Lepisosteus oculatus: one gene and its partner. The protein of the gene in region 1 purifies or fractionates together with the protein of each later gene. This does not show direct contact. Links are inferred from orthologs where the notes say so. Each region holds a gene or a part of one and is shown in the gene's direction. Other genes may lie near its edges.

The links.
Region 2: the proteins of shcbp1 (region 1) and plk1 purify together in Homo sapiens (affinity purification with western blotting; 3 studies listed by BioGRID, with this or other methods). This does not show direct contact. The link is inferred for Lepisosteus oculatus from reciprocal best matches to the Homo sapiens genes SHCBP1 and PLK1.

What each region holds. Positions count from the first base shown.
Region 1 is NC_090715.1:6,687,368-6,695,523, reverse strand, and holds the start of shcbp1 (SHC SH2 domain-binding protein 1), read left to right. Parts: upstream 1-4,876; 5' UTR 4,877-5,018; coding exon 5,019-5,235; intron 5,236-5,751; coding exon 5,752-5,949; intron 5,950-6,761; coding exon 6,762-6,877; intron 6,878-7,530; coding exon 7,531-7,739; intron 7,740-8,150; coding exon 8,151-8,156. UniProt on the Homo sapiens protein: May play a role in signaling pathways governing cellular proliferation, cell growth and differentiation. May be a component of a novel signaling pathway downstream of Shc. Acts as a positive regulator of FGF signaling in neural progenitor cells.
Region 2 is NC_090714.1:12,120,390-12,128,135, forward strand, and holds the start of plk1 (serine/threonine-protein kinase PLK1), read left to right. Parts: upstream 1-4,551; 5' UTR 4,552-4,960; coding exon 4,961-5,329; intron 5,330-6,332; coding exon 6,333-6,501; intron 6,502-7,386; coding exon 7,387-7,531; intron 7,532-7,724; coding exon 7,725-7,746. UniProt on the Homo sapiens protein: Serine/threonine-protein kinase that performs several important functions throughout M phase of the cell cycle, including the regulation of centrosome maturation and spindle assembly, the removal of cohesins from chromosome arms, the inactivation of anaphase-promoting complex/cyclosome (APC/C) inhibitors, and the regulation of mitotic exit and cytokinesis.

The sequences.
Region 1 (8,156 bases):
ACGAGACTCGATTTGTTATTCAATTAGATAAAAAGCTCTGAAAGGAGAAGGTTTGTTTTTCAGAGCTCAGGCTTGTCATTAGGGATGGGATATATCCCCCTCTTGAAAGGCAGAATGGCTTTGAACATTGTGGTTGCTATGGCTACATTGGGCACTAGAATACATTATGGTCAGGTTTCCTTTATTGCTACTGACACCTAATTGGGCTGTCATCACCTGCTAAAGATTGGCAAAGAATTACCAGTCTAAAAGTCAAAATATATTACTAAAGTTTTAAATCACTGAAAGACACAAAATAAGACTTTATCCAATCTTTCTCTCAATATTTAACCCCTTTATCCAATAAAGGGTCATGGGGGAGCTGGAGCCTATCCTGGCAAGCAATGGGTGCAAGGCGGGATACTCCCTGGACAGGACGCTAGTTGTTCTGTTGATATACAGGCATTATTGAATTGTCGTGTTAACAACTGAATGAGACAGAAAGACAGAACAAACGTAAATAGACAGAACTCTGCCATCAGCCACAAATGTCAGATTTTAAAATCAGACATTATAATAATAATAATAATAATAATGATAATAATAATAATAATAATAATTATTATTATTATTATTATTATTATTATTATTATTATTATTATTACTTTTCTTTATTGTACTCCTTTTGTTGTTGTTGTTGTTGAAGTAAAATTCATCCTTGGCTAGAAATCTGTTAAAATAGGATGACATGAGCCTGATCAGTAGTGCAGTGGGAGTGGTATTCTGTGACTCACTCCCTGCAGCTGTCTTCTTCCTGTGTTACAAGTGTCATTCCACAAAACCATTGTGCAGGACACCTGCTGGCTCTCTGATGCTTTTTCTGAGTCTCCGGACTAACATGCAGCCAATATTGTGGATAAAAGGATTGACCTAGTCTTCAAATGGACACTGTGGAGGGGAATTTCTAATGGTGTGTGTTAACGCCAAATCCCATCACAAGGCTGAAATGTATGTGAAAGGTGTGACAATGATGAGCATGCTTTTTGCGAGGTCAAAACTTACTGAGATAAATTCACAAAGTACTGTAGTTTATTCCAAAAACCTTTTTAGACCCATTTTCATCCATTCATCCATTTTCTAAAGCCCCTTTACATAACACAGTATCGCAGTGGAGTTGGAACCTATCCTTTAAGCAATAGGCACAAGCCAGGGTACACCCTGGATGGAACGCCAGTTAATTTACCCTATAGACTGTGGAAGGAAACCAGAGTACCTAGACAAAACGTATTAAAAACATAGGTTTCCATTAGACAAACTCCATTCAGAAAACACCCTAGAAATTTAACCAAGGGCCCCAGCACTGCAAGGTACCAATGCTAACCACTGTGCCACTTGCCACCCTAGCCACATGTTTCTATTTTTAAAGAATTTATATTTTTCTAATTTAAGTCATTTATTATACTTCAAATATTTTAATGTTAATGAAATATTGCAATATTTAAATTAATACCTGTCAATCTGTTCTGTAGACCTGCTGGATTGTGGCTCTTCAGTACCAGAGTTGGCCACCTAGAGCCTAGTCAGCATACCCTTAGAAGGTGAGAGGAAATTGAGAGAACATGCAAACTCTAGTAAAAGTAATGAGTCAGGAATCCAACTCAGCAGCCAAGAGCTGTAAAGCAGTAATATAAATATCTGCCACTCAGCTGTTCTGCTTATGAGCAAAATAATTAGCAAATATTGTTCTTACTACTACTTTTATTACTATTTCATTGTAATTTTTACATCACACTAAAGCTGACAAAATCAATAATGTCCTATTTTATAAATTGCCTTTCATATTGTTTTTCAGGCTGCTTATCCGGTATTGTTACAGCAATCTGCAAAAATATAACACTTGTTAACGTTGTTAGCATTGTAAAAATAATCTTCATACAGATTAGCATAATCTTTTATTAACGTTGATCTTATATGGTAAAATTGTGTTTTTACTGTTTGCTGGTTTTAAAAACGTCTCTCTATTGCCATCTGCCTGAGAAATGAGAGAAGTTCAGCAGGGACCATTTCCAATAGTTTTTAACAGAGGATTCTTTGGACCAGAGGATACAAAGCTGCCACTCTGCTGTCTCTGGGAATGGCTCAAAAATGCATCGTTCTGTTCTTGGGTGGCTATATGAAGACCCATTGCCACACATCCAGAATAGTTCCACTCTGCTGCTTCAGACAATCAAATTAGAAGTAAAATGTTGCAAAGTCTGTGGGGTCCGCTTCATGCTGATTAATAAATTACTGATTCCTAATTGCAATCAAAACATCTCTGAAATGACAGTGTGCAGACTGAGTTGTTACACTGAATGAAATTCACCCATAATAAGCACATGAATCATTTATTTAGCCACGGAAAATAATTTTATAGATTTATTGTGGTACTTTCTGTCATCACACTGGTTCTTGTATCAGCTTCCTTTTGGGTTAATATTTAGGATAAGCCTAGAACTACAGTAGGCTGGAAGTAAGAGCTTGGCTAGTTGGGAAGGGACTGGGGATAGAGCTGAATAAGGATCAGTATAAAGTTTAACACTTTGGCGTGTGTTCGGGTTTTTGTTATATTACAGTTATATTTAGTTTTCCATTAAACTAGGTTTTGTGGGATAGAAATAAAGATTAGGCAGGAGCGAGGATGACTTTTGTTTTGTTTTGTTTTAAAAGTTAGTTTCAAGGGTTAGGATTATTATTCATGTTACAAAATTGGCTAGGAATTCAAATTGATATTACAAATGATTTTACATTGGTAATATCAGACCAATGATTGCTTTTTGGAGGTCCTATATTAAATTAAACTTAATTCAATAGATAAGTTTATTTGTCCTACTACAGCTCCACCACCAGTAAAAAGAATGTTCTTGCTGACATTCTAAACTGATAGAAGTAAAATGGATTGGAGAAGTAAAACAGCTACAGTATTTCTGCTATCCTCTGTGCAGTTAAAGCTGAATATCTGAACATTTTAAGTTCTGAACAGAGACGATTACGAATGGACCTGATACAAGTATTCAAAATCTTCAAGGTCTTCGCCAAAGTCTATGTCAAATCTAAATCAACAATATTCCAACACTACCCAGAGACGACAAGTGGAAAATATGTGAGAGTGCATTTAAAACAGACAATAGGAGGCAGTGCTCCACACAAAAGGTTGTGGTGTTATCAAATAAGCTACCTGTTATCTTGTTGAAGCCGATATCTTGGCTTCCTTCCAAAAAAACAGCTCTATGACATCTGTGTAACAAAGGAACAGATAAAGGTTTATCCCATGCTGAAAGGGAAAGAAGTGATGCACCTGAAGAAGGTTCCACAATGATTGCTCTGTGTTGTGTCTCTTTTCTTTTTTTTTATTCTGCCATCCACTTGAAATTCTTGTAACACACTAGATGAGCAGAATTGCCTCCTCTTGCTTATGTTCTTATGTATCATGTGGCACAACTGTTTTTGGTTGTGTTGAGGCCACAAAATTGTACAGCTCCAGGTTTCTTCTCCAGAAAAGCTTTTTCTGAAAAGCGCCAGCAACACCATTCATCTTCAGGCATCTCTCAGCAGCTGCCTTCTACCTTTGGAGCATGGCTAGAAAAAAAACACAAGTTCAGCTCTTCCCCTGCAGCAGCAGTAATGTAACTCACGTGTGAACATGAAGAAGGGCGTCCTCAGGGTTTCTACTGATGGGTTCATTATGAATCTTCTTTCCTTGACTGAAAGGTTTCTTTAGAAAAATGTGTTTTGCATTGATTTTTCAACTACAGTCTGCATGAAAGATTATTAAAGATCAAGATACACTTAAAGGCAACAATACCCTCCACTACAGCCTCTCAGTGTCAGAAGTAATGGAAAAATCTTGAGTTTATTGAACTGCCATAACCCAAAAGCCAATACTTTTACATCTGCAGCTGTCACGCCCTCTGCAGCCAGAGGGCGCTCCTACTCTGTTCTGTCCCTAGTTTCCTATGCTTTGCTGTCCTTCCGGTGTCTCTCTTTCTTGGGCTATATATTTCCGGGTTTCTCATTCACCTTCGCTCAGCATTGATGTTCGGATGTCCTGAGACCCGCCTAGCATCCAGGTGGCCCCACATCCGCTGCCTGAGGGCATTGGTTTCTATACGACTCCTGAACTGCTGAGCCTGGGGTAATCTCCCATTCCGCTGCTACGCATATGGGTCTTTTTCTGTTCTCCCGCCTCTCCACGGTTCATCCCTTCCGACATCTGTGACAGCAGCCCTTTAGCACTAAATGAAATGTGGAGATTTCAATATGATATAGATAGCTCTCATGCAGCAGTTCACAATTACTGACCTGACAGAATACTGATAATTTGGTTTGACCATTTCCCTTGTATTTTTTTTATTTATTTTTTTTTGAGGGGGGGGGGGGGGGGGATATTTTAATAGCACTGCCCCTGCATGGTTCATATAAATAAAGTTGCTTCTGTTAGTGCAGAATTAAAGGTAAAAAAGACTTATGCATGAATTACATATATCCAACCACAACACATAAAACATTTTTGTTGAATACAGTTAAATATATAATGTTTTATTTCAAATACGGGTTCATAAATATATTTAACTTTTATGTTGTTGACATAAGTTATATTAATTAATTTATTAGATCGAATTAATACTTATTAATTTTTAGTCATTCATTAGTAATTCGCTTTTGCCTGCTATAATAATTCTGTTAACACCTCATCTCCTGTTTGTAATGTATTACAGTCCTGTGTAACTGCAGTTCTTGTACGCCATTTTGGCTCTTTAGAGCCGTGCTCTTGTTTTGTTTTTTAGTCAATGACGTCATGAGCCTAACCAGAAAAGGAAATTGCGTTTTCATGTTGTTTTCTCATTGGTCAGTCTTCTCTTAACCGGGGGAATTTTGAATTTGTTTGCAGGAGGAGCAAAGTATAGGATGTGTTTTAATGGTTTCTTTCACTAAAGTTTGTTAGACGGTTGCACACTTTTTAAAAGTAACTTAGACTCGCTTTAACCTTAACAAGTACAATGGCTGAAGATATCGCCTCTGCAAGTACAATGCAGGCTGAAACAAACGCTGGCATTCCAGAGTTGCAAATTAAGCCTGTAGCAAAATGTGACGAGGGAGCGGCTACGTCTCTAATACAAAATGAAATACAAGAAAAGATCGATTTGGAAACAGAAGTTGAAATGGAACCTGCTGGAATCGATCAGATGCCTGGTGAAATTCTGTATATAAAGCAAGGTAGGCCGTTGTTTGTTGTTCAGATATAAAATGTACAGCCTAAGATAATTTATAGAGTGAGAGGAGCGTCTCCTGTTTTTCGCTGAGGTTACCTTAGTAGTAATTGCAACATTCCAAAGTTAAAATCGATCATATTTAAACAGGTAAAGAGGTATTACCGAAGCTATTGCAGTTACTAATGCAATCAAATTCCGATTTTTTTTCAGCTCTGTATTTGAATATCTTTCGTTGTTAGCAACGAGCTTAAAAGCAATTTTGTGTATTACTGTCGGTCTAAGTTAAACTTTCAAACTTGAGGATTTGTCCAGAAACAGATCTCCCTTTGTTTAGAGTTTTTTGGTGAACCTCCTTGTTTTGATTGAAGGGAGAAGCACCGTTAATTTGGTCTAGATAAAAACTCTGAATTACATAGTGGGCATTCAAATACGACAAAGTGATGTTAACTTGACGCTGTTTAACCAAAAGATTCCCTTAAATCTTTCAAGTATTAAGTTTGATTGTTTTGTGTTTTCTTAGTTCTTTTTCAGGAAAATGATGAAGATGAAGATACCGAGGAAGATGATGACAGTTGTAGTGATTATGGCAGCAGTGACAAGCCAGGCACAGTTTTACAGAGGGCAGAATGCACAGGAAATGTTGCTTTCCCTGACATCTTCCAGACTAACCAGCTTCTGTTTTATGAGAGGTTTAAAGCTTATCAAGATTACATGCTAGGTAATTGCTTTCTATATTGACTGTTCTCACTTTGCACTATTGTTCCAAATTTCCCTTTGGTCTTTACCAATCATGGCCTCCTAATCCCCATCTAAGAATTGGCTTCATTACTCTGTTCTCCCCACTGAGAGCTGATGTGGGTTGAGTATATTGTGTGCACTTTGGCTGCTGTCGCATCATCTGGATGGGTGCTACACATTGGTGGTGGTGGAGGGGAGTCCCCACTATCTGTAAAGCTCTTTGAGTGGAGTGGCCAGATAAATGCTATATAAGTGTAAGGTACTATGCATATTTCTTCAGAAACCTTTTCATAAAATTGAGGGATGCACTGACAGATGTTGATACTTTATTTCAGGATTGCTTACAATCCATCCTTTATGAAAACCATGAAAAGGTCTCTTTGTTCTTAAAGGTCAAAACGGCACAGTTTTGGTCAGCAGATACTCACATTGGTTTAAAAATATTTAATCTTTATGAATACAGAGTTGTGTGGCACAGTGATATGGCACACAGTGTTGCTGCGTTTTCACAGATATTTGGTTCTGGAGTGGTGTGCTGACGGTTCTTTGTTTCAAAGGAGTTTCCTCCGGTCTTCCAAAGGCATGCTGAATTGGCATTTGTAAATTGCTCCACATACTTGCGCATATGTGTCCCGTGATGCACTGTGGTGCTGTGTGGGATGTAGCCCTGTCTTGTGCTTACAGGATGTTCTGGTTTGCTGTGACCCTCACCAGTAATACTTGGATGTCTGATAATGGATAGACAGATTGCAGAAATGAGTCCTAACAATGTGTGTTTTGGTTTCCCTGAAGGTGACTGTAAAACCTCAGAAGTTAGAGATTTTACTGCAGACTACTTGGAGAAGGTTCTGGAGCCCTGTGGCTGGCGTGCTGTGTGGAGCACAGAAGTGTTTGATGTACTGGTTGAGGTATGTCTGAATGCACCATCGTGGGCACCTTCTTCACCTTTGTTTATTGCAAAAGTACAGAGAGCTTGAGGCAATAGAACTGAAAGTCAACTCTTGTAACATCTTGTACAAAGCACTGACAGGAAAACAAATTCAGGCATTTTAGGTGTCTCTTAGAAGGGTTAGAATCTTTCAATACTATTGACCATTTGGGGCACAACTAAATTTACTTGCAGTTAAAGTAAGGTAATTCTAATTTGTCTTGTTTTTGATACACTTAGCTGCATTGTTTGCCACTCACGATTGGAGTGCAATTCAAAAATAGTTGTTTGGAATGTGCTACAGATCTATGGTTTCATGAGATCAGTAATGCTTTTTCTAAAAGAAGAAAATGGTAATGTTTCTCCCATTCCCAAAAAAATCACTCAACCTTATCTTGATTTTCATTTTATAATTTCATTTTTACTTTAATCATGCCTTCCTTGTCACAAGATGCTTTTCTTAAATCAGTGCACTGGTTTGTTCTGTTTTTAGATCTTTTTATGCATTCAGTTAGCTTTATATTTTAAAAAAGTCCGGGGAACAATTGGGAGGTGTTATGCAATGTTGCTAAAAGCTTTTTAATTTAATTCTGAGATTGGTGACTCAGAAGTCCTTTCTAACTGTCATTGCAGGTGGTGGATGTGGAGTGTTCCAGTCTGAAAGCCAGGGTGGAGCTGGTTCAGCCTCTCCTGTGTGAGAGAAAAGGCTGTGAGCTCACAGAGGAGTCCATGAGGGACCTGCTGGAGGCAAAAGAACATCAAGTGCCTTTGCAGGAACTCAGTGTTGTGTTTGATGAATCAGGGGAATTCGATCAAACAGCACTTGCTTTAGAGCACTTAAGGTAAATTATTTATGCATATTTAGAACTTGTTTTACTTAGCTGGAGAAAATCCAGACAGTCCTGACTTTGTTGTTCTGTACAGAGGTTTGAAGTGGAGAATGATGAATGTGGTTCTTGGAAAAGTGAAAGTTAATGAAAGCCTTGTGAATTTCCATGAAAACTTTTGTTGTATCTACAAACTGTTACCCCTTTTTGTAACCAGTGATCCTTATTATTCTGTAGTTTTGCTTTTGTTTTTTGTAGATCAGTAAGTGGTAGTGTTTCATTGGACTCCTTTGCTGGGTCTCTCAATGATGGTGCTTTTCTTTAATGACATATAACGCCCTTAAATGATACACTTGCTAAAACGAATAGCAATATTTAACTGCTGCCAACAGAAACAAGGTGTATATATATTTTTCCAATTGGTAGGTTTTT
Region 2 (7,746 bases), on another chromosome or scaffold:
CCCCACGGCCTGTATCCTTTCTGTATCCGCTGTGACTGCTGCCTCTCCTGCTCACATGCCAGAGGAGATCTGCACCTGGGTTCCGCCTTCATCCAGAAACACAAAGCGGGCGCAGAACTGGGAGCAAGGCGGCACCACAGCACGCGATCATCTCCGACGGCCAGCAGAACGAAAACACGAGGTTTAGAACGGGACCCAACGCCATCAAGCAGGGCGAGCGGATGATTCAGCCCGTGTTTGTGTTTCCATCTGTTTTTATTTGTCCTCTCCGCAGCTTGTAAGGTGGCAGCTGTTGAACAACTGGCTCCGGGGATCAAAACAGAGTTACATTAACACACACAGGGTTGAAGTGCAAATGCTGTTACCTGAGAAGGCCAAAAGAGTGAGGACAAGCCTAGGACTAAGGGATTGACTCTAACACTTCCTCGCACTCCTCTCTACTCAGTATCTCTCCCACCCAGAGCTGGGCAGGGCCTTGGCATTTGCAGGAGCTGGCTGCTGCAGTCTACACGTGAGAGCGCTGCCTTTTTATGCCTTCGACAAAAGCCTCACGTGTGCACTGAGTCTGATCAGAAAGCCGATTAGACAGCGTGGTACTGAAAGAGTTGACCTTCCCACGACAGCATTCTGGGAACGTGCTAGGAAACCGGAGTGGATGTATTTGCAGACAATGGACACCTCTTCTCTCCTCGCAATCAGGGAAACCTGAGGGCTCCAATCTGATAACTGAAAGGCCAGCCTCTGTCCATTATCATCTCCCCTGATTTAGTCTTCACACGGATTCTAGGGCTGTATCACGCATCTCGTATTATTTTTTTAGCTGATGCACTTATCCAAGATGATGTGCATACCAGACAATTGCTGGACTAAAAAACCCAACATACAGAATAAAGAGAAAGGCAATAACGAAGCACAATACAGAGGGTAAAGCCACAAAAGGTGCAGAAGTGAAAGAAATGCAGGGATGAATTGTAGACTCTTAAAGGTGAAACATGGGCAGGTGGGGCATGAAGAGGCACAGCAAGCTAGGAGAGAGGACAAGGACCTGCTGTGCAGCTGGCACCATTGGCGAGTACTGTACACACCCAGGGGTCTGGATTCTGCAAGAGGACAATCAAACTCCTGCATCACCCAGAGTTTAGCAATTCATTTTTGGCTCACAAAACCCCCTTTCTGCTGTGTAGAAACCGACACACTGCTGTGCCCTCACCTGATCCAGCCATGGTGCCTGTGAGCACAGAGGCTCAGGTTGAAGGCAGGCGAGCTGAGCTGAGCAACTGCAGCTGTCTTAATGAGAACCGCAGTGCAGGTCAGGAACACGCTGGAGGCCAATCTGGATGGCTGATGTTTTTTTTTTCCCTATTCCTGTCCCTCTCATCTATCTTTAAGGCACACTCTCTTTCTCTCGGCACGATGTAAACAGTGTGTATTTAAAGAATCTATTTCTGTTACCTGTGCTCTAATCAAGACCCACATGAATCCCATCTTCTGCAAGCTCTGCCCATTGTCTCCAGCACTGGCAGATGTGCTTGACATGTTTGGAGCCAACGTACTGTGGCCTTTTGATATTCAAATCTGCACACACAAGATATCCCCCTGTGCTGAACAGACATGTGTATCTATTGATCCTCCCAAACTGGGAATGAATAGACCATTTAGGAGGTTAAATAAGCAAATGATCCAAAGAGTCTTGAGAAGCACAAAAACATCCGGTCTGAATCTGGCAGACGCTGCCTCCTACGCACTGCACACTGTGCCAGGAGGATTGGAGGGGGTGAAGCTCAAATAGTCTGTTAATAGCTTCCATTCTTTATTTTTATTTATTTGAACATGTTATAGTTAATGAATAGCCAGAATGGTCCCAGCCCATGTGTATTATATCTACTGATAACGGGTGCCTGCATTCTTAAAAATAATCAAAGGTGTTTACAAAATAAACTTTGCTTTCCTTACCAATCATATGAAAGTAAAGTAATAGTAACATATACAGCAGTAAATGCAAGAACGTTGTGGAAAAGTCTTGCAGTGCACTATTAACTTTGTATTGTTCCTGTGTAATATTTTTCCTATCAAACATTGTTTGGACTGTAATAATATATTTGAATACTTAAAAATTGATCGCCTAAAATTAAGTAATCAATTAATTATTATTTAACTATTAGTTAATAATTATTTGATATTGCCACACAACAATATTTGGTGGAGTTTGCTTTTGGTACAGCAAGAGAACACGATTACGCTGACAAACAACATACAATATTAACAAATACACGTTGAAATTCAGAGACAAGCAAAACACAATCACATCATACGTAAACAGGTAGCAAAGTGAATTGTAAAAGAGATGTTCACAGGTGGCTAAATAGCTGAGGGGAAAGAGTCAAGGACTGTATAGCAGTGGGCCGGGAGCTAAGGTTGAAGCAGGCTCCCTATCCTTTCTGACAGTGCATGACGCTTTCAGATAGGCATATTTCCATAAACCCCTTTATTTTGACACCCCTTGTTGTAAAGCCCTCGATATCTCAGCAGAATCCTGAGACTTGAGTGATTTTAATGGACAGTACAGTCATCAGTGCAGAGTACATAGAGATGAAGCTAATTCATAGATGGGGATGGTCAAGGTCATGAATGATCAAGGCCTGGACACCAGAGTTACACCCCTACTCTTTTTGAGAAATACTGTGACCACAGAAGGTCAGGGTCATCTGAGCGATGGCACCTTTTTAAAAATAGAGTCCCCATTACTATACTGGGGCATTTGGATCCAAATGACTACAGGGTGAGCGCCCCCTGCTGGCCCCACTAACACCTCTTCCAGCAGCAGCCTTAGTTTTTCACAGGAGGTCTCCCACCCAGGTACTGACCAGGCTCACACCTGCGGAGCTTCAGTGAGCTGCAAATGGTGAACTGAAGGGTGATATAGCTAAATTGAATGGAGTGATATAACTAGGTGACCAATGTGGCCTTGAATTACAAAAAAAATACCGTAGTAAAAAAAACTACTGGATGTAACCCCTTTCGGCGATTATCTGCGACCGGGTGAAAGGACTTGCCAAAACGTTCTTAAACTTTAACGTTTCCAGGCACTCAGTGTCTTCGGAGAACTTGGGACACAGAGCCGTGACCCGCCTGCCACCGCCCTCTAGTGGTCAGAGTGTTCCAATACCATAAGTAACGCAAATCCCTTCTGTTCTTTTTAAATTGTTTTTTTTTCTTCTCATATATCATTGGATGTCACAAATACAATGTGTTAGATACGTTCCTGTAAGGCCCTCGGTCTGTATTTGCTACCTTTTATAGAAATATTTATTTTCATTCACCTCGATAATCAACAGTTTTCACACAGCACACAGCAACACACGGATTCGGTAGTTTTTTTTTAATTAGGGACTTTGTTTTTGAATTGAAAGGCTAATTCGCGTCCCGAATAATACACTTCCTTCCCTCTGCCACGACGGGCGATTTAACTACAGTACCGTTAATGATAACTTTTATAATCATATATATATACATGAATTGAGAGAAAATAGATCCTGTCGCTTAGGCAGACAGGATATCGCTTCCCCAACGGAGCTCTGAGGAAATGGAAGAATTTTCCGGGACAGGAGAAGATTGTCGTTATGCTCAAGCTAAGTAATTTGCGACCGATTAGAGGAAGTGTTGTCCTGAAAATACTCTTCCAAACAACCCAAGGTACGAGGAAAATCGGTGTCACTTTCATGTGACTCAGTTTTATTGTACTTCAGTGACTAATGTCCTTTTGGCATTCCCATTGTAATCCAATTAATAGCTTACCCAAAACTACGTGCTTCGTAATGGTTTTTCCTCCCAATAAACTCCGGTGGTCGTTGTTTTTCAAGTAACTGCCACATAGCAGCCCGACGACACACAGATTTTTAAGTGTGCCGATTAAAATGGGATAAAATATACCAGGAACTGGGAGGTGCAGGACTTTTTAAAAATAAATTTCGAGTTAGTGTTTACAGCGCACTGTAAAGGGTAAAAAAATAAATGGCATTTAATTGATTAAAATTCATTTTTAACACTCCACAGCGGAATACGGATACAGGAAAATGCTTAATGGTACAGTATTTGTGTGGTGGGCGTGGGGATGGAATTCACTTCTCGATCATTTTGATCCTCATAGAAGAACGATTACATATAAAGAATAACTCTTTATATCAACAATTACCCATTACTAGATACCTGGTTACAGAAGCTGTATAAGACAAGCCTGAAAATAAAATAAAAACATTAGACCAGAGTCACTAGAATATACTTACAGTCCTGTCAGATTTCAAACCAGTACTGGTGAGTTCTGCAAACCAGTATTTCCATACTCAAAAACAACAACAACAAGACTGCGTCTGGCGTTTCTGTGTAACCAGGGAGAAAGCAGCGTGCCCTCCTGCTGTTGTGTGTCTCGTCCGGGGGGGCTGTCAATAAAGCTGGTTCAAAAGCTCAGGGGGCATTTAAACTTGGGCGCTCCCATGCTGCCCTGCGGCGGGCAGGCTGGATTTCAAATCCTGCGGACCAATCACGGGCGGCGCCGTCGCTTTTAACGAACGGAGCTGGATTTGAAATGCTGTCGAGTCCACAAGGGCTGTATTGCCAGAGAAGGACACAGAGGGGGCTGGTAGAGACGGGCGTTGGAGGGGGGTTAGGACTGGCTGACAAACAAAATACACAGCGCTTTTTGCACACTTTTTTTTATTAACATTAAAGCGTCTCCGTATGAGTCTACATCGAGCCGATTGTCTTCTGCGGGGAAAAGTTTTGATTTGAATTTCTATGCGGCTCGGAGAAAGGGTAGTAGCTGTAAGACTTGGCCTGTGTCCGTTGGTTTGTAGTTTTGGATCTGCCTTTTTTTTAAAAAAAAATCGATATAAGTACAAGTCTCGGTAGGTTCTGTAAAGAGGGCTGAGGTTACATTAATATATTCAAACGCTTAACTTTCGAAATGAGCGCCGCCGCCGTAGCAGCGAAGGCGATGAAGCCGTCAGTGCAGGTTGACCCCAAGTCGGCCCCGCTAAAGGAGGTCCCCGATATTTTGGTGGACACCCGGACCAAGAAGAGGTACCTCCGGGGCCGGTTTCTGGGGAAGGGGGGGTTCGCGAAGTGCTACGAGATCACAGATATGGACACCAAGGAGGTCTTCGCTGGGAAGGTCGTCCCCAAGTCCATGTTACTGAAGCCGCATCAGAAAGAGAAAATGTCCATGGAAATCACGATCCACAAGAGCCTGAATAATGCCCACGTCGTCGGGTTTCACGGCTTTTTCGAGGACGAGGACTTCGTGTACGTGGTCCTGGAGATCTGCCGGAGACGGGTGAGTACTGTAACTGTCAGGTCGGGCCGAGCCCGGGCGGAGGAGAGGACAATCCGGCATTTCTGTAACCGAAAGGATGGGGTGGCGAGTTGTTAACCGACTGATGAAGCTGATGATAGTGGCGAGTTGTTCACCTGCTGTTTTAATAAGTTACATTTTTAGAGGAAAATGCTCGGTGTCCCATTTTGGTAACTTTCTAAAAAAACGGTTACCCGGAGATGAGTGGTTTTTAAGTGTGTGTGTGTGGGCGGCGGGGCGCACCCCCTCAGTACTGCAACCCCATTTTTTCTGCGAATGGAACCCGATTGCGCGTACGCCAGCCTTTTTTTTCCCCTCGGGTCGGGTGTTGCGCAGCCTCCCCCGGCCGTGCGCTTGCCTGGACTCGCATTGCCATGACGCTCCGAGCGCCTCCTGCAGTTCCTGTTCCTATGGAGTGTGGCTCCTGCCCGAGCTATTCCAGCGTGTCAAAGGGAACACCCCTCCCCTTCCCCCCAACAGACTCTAAATGTGCACCTTTTGGCTACCCTTGTATCCAAACTGTTTGGGAATGAGTGCAGTGATTACTTTCCCCCGCTGCGTAAAGATCAAATTTTTTTTTGGAGGCGTCTTACAACTTAATAGGAACAAGTAATAGGTTTATTCCGTGCTGAAAAGAGCAGAGAGGAAATGCAGCGTTTCGGGTGTGGAGCCTTCCTCACAGCTGAAGAAGGCTCCACAGCCGAAACGTTGTTTCCTTTCTTCTCTTTTCAGCACGGAATAAACCTATCACTTGTTCCTTTGCAGCCTATGCATGCTGATGCAGCTACCTAGCTGAACTACTTACAACTTGATAGGGTTGATTTGCTTTTGTACTTAAGTATTTCATCCCGTAATCTCCCCCATTTCTCCTGTTCAAGTTGTAAAACTTCCCTTCTGACACGTTTTTGCAGAGTCTGTACTTCTAACCTAATTGCATTTCTTTCACTGAGGTCTTTGAACATCTTTTTTTTCCCCACCCCTCCAGTCTCTGCTGGAGTTGCACAAGAGGAGGAAGGCGGTGACTGAGCCGGAGGCCCGGTATTATATGAGGCAGACTATTGTGGGGTGCCAGTACCTCCACAACAACAGAGTGATCCACAGAGATCTCAAGCTGGGGAACCTGTTTCTGAACGACGAGATGGAGGTCAAGATAGGTAATGCAGCTGGGCCTGCTCAGAAAACTGTTCTTCTGCCTGCAGAGACGAGCCAGGGGTTCTGTTTCGTAAAGATCTGGACTCGTGTCCAGGCACCAGTGAGGGGTGGGCAGTGATGTGGACTGGGGGTCTCCAGTCTAGAGGTAGGGGGTTTTTGGGGGATCCCTTTGGGTTTTGGAGCTGCGATGTTAGAAAATTGTCAGCTGACATTCATTTCGTGAAAAGGAATAATTCCTCAGACTTGTATAGCGCTTTTCTGGACAATCCACTTTACAGGTAATGGGAACTCCCCTCCACCTCCACCTCCACCAGTGTGCAGCCCCACCTGGATGATGTAACAGCAGCCATAGTGCGCCAGTATGCTCACCACACACCAGCTATTAGTGGGGAGGAGAACAGAGTAATGAAGCCAGTTCATAGAGGGGAATTAATTAGGAGGCCATGATTAATGAGGGCTAATGGGAAATTTGTCCAGGACGCCGGGGTTACACCCCTACTCTTTTTGAGAAACACCCTGGGATTTTTAATGACCACAGAGAGTCAGGACCTCGGTTTTACGTCTCATCCGAAGGACGGCGCCTGTTTACAGTATAGTGTCCCCGTCACTACACTGGGGCATTAGGACCCACACAGACCACTAACTGGCCCCACTAACGCCTCTTCCAGCAGCAACCTTAGTTGCTGATAGTTGAAATCCCGAGCCAAGAAACTGGCAAACCCTCGAAAACGTACTTTCCTTCCTGTTGCATCCGAGATGAACTGCTCACGTGCGCAGACTGGTCAAATGACATCAGTGCCTCTATGTGTTCCTCATGCTCTAGGCGTCAGCTCTGCATCCTGGCTCCCTGAGTCCATGCCTGCCTGTTTTTTTTTGCCCCCCTGCAGGCGATTTTGGCCTGGCCACGAAGATCGAGTACGATGGCGAGCGAAAGAAGACTCTGTGCGGCACGCCGAACTACATCGCCCCCGAGGTGCTGTGCAAGAAGGGCCACAGCTTTGAGGTGGACATCTGGTCACTGGGCTGCATCCTGTAAGCACTGGAGTTGGGGGGGCGGGGGTAGTTATTGAGCGTGTGTCAGCTAGAAGACTTGCGTTCTCCGGTGTGGTTTTGGACTGGACTGACCATATTGACTATTGGCTGTGCTGTCTACCAGAATGATCTGCCTGCTGTTAGTTAGTGCACCTCGCTGACTGACGAACCCGTCCCCCCCCTCTCTGTCCAGCTACACGCTGCTGGTGGGGAAG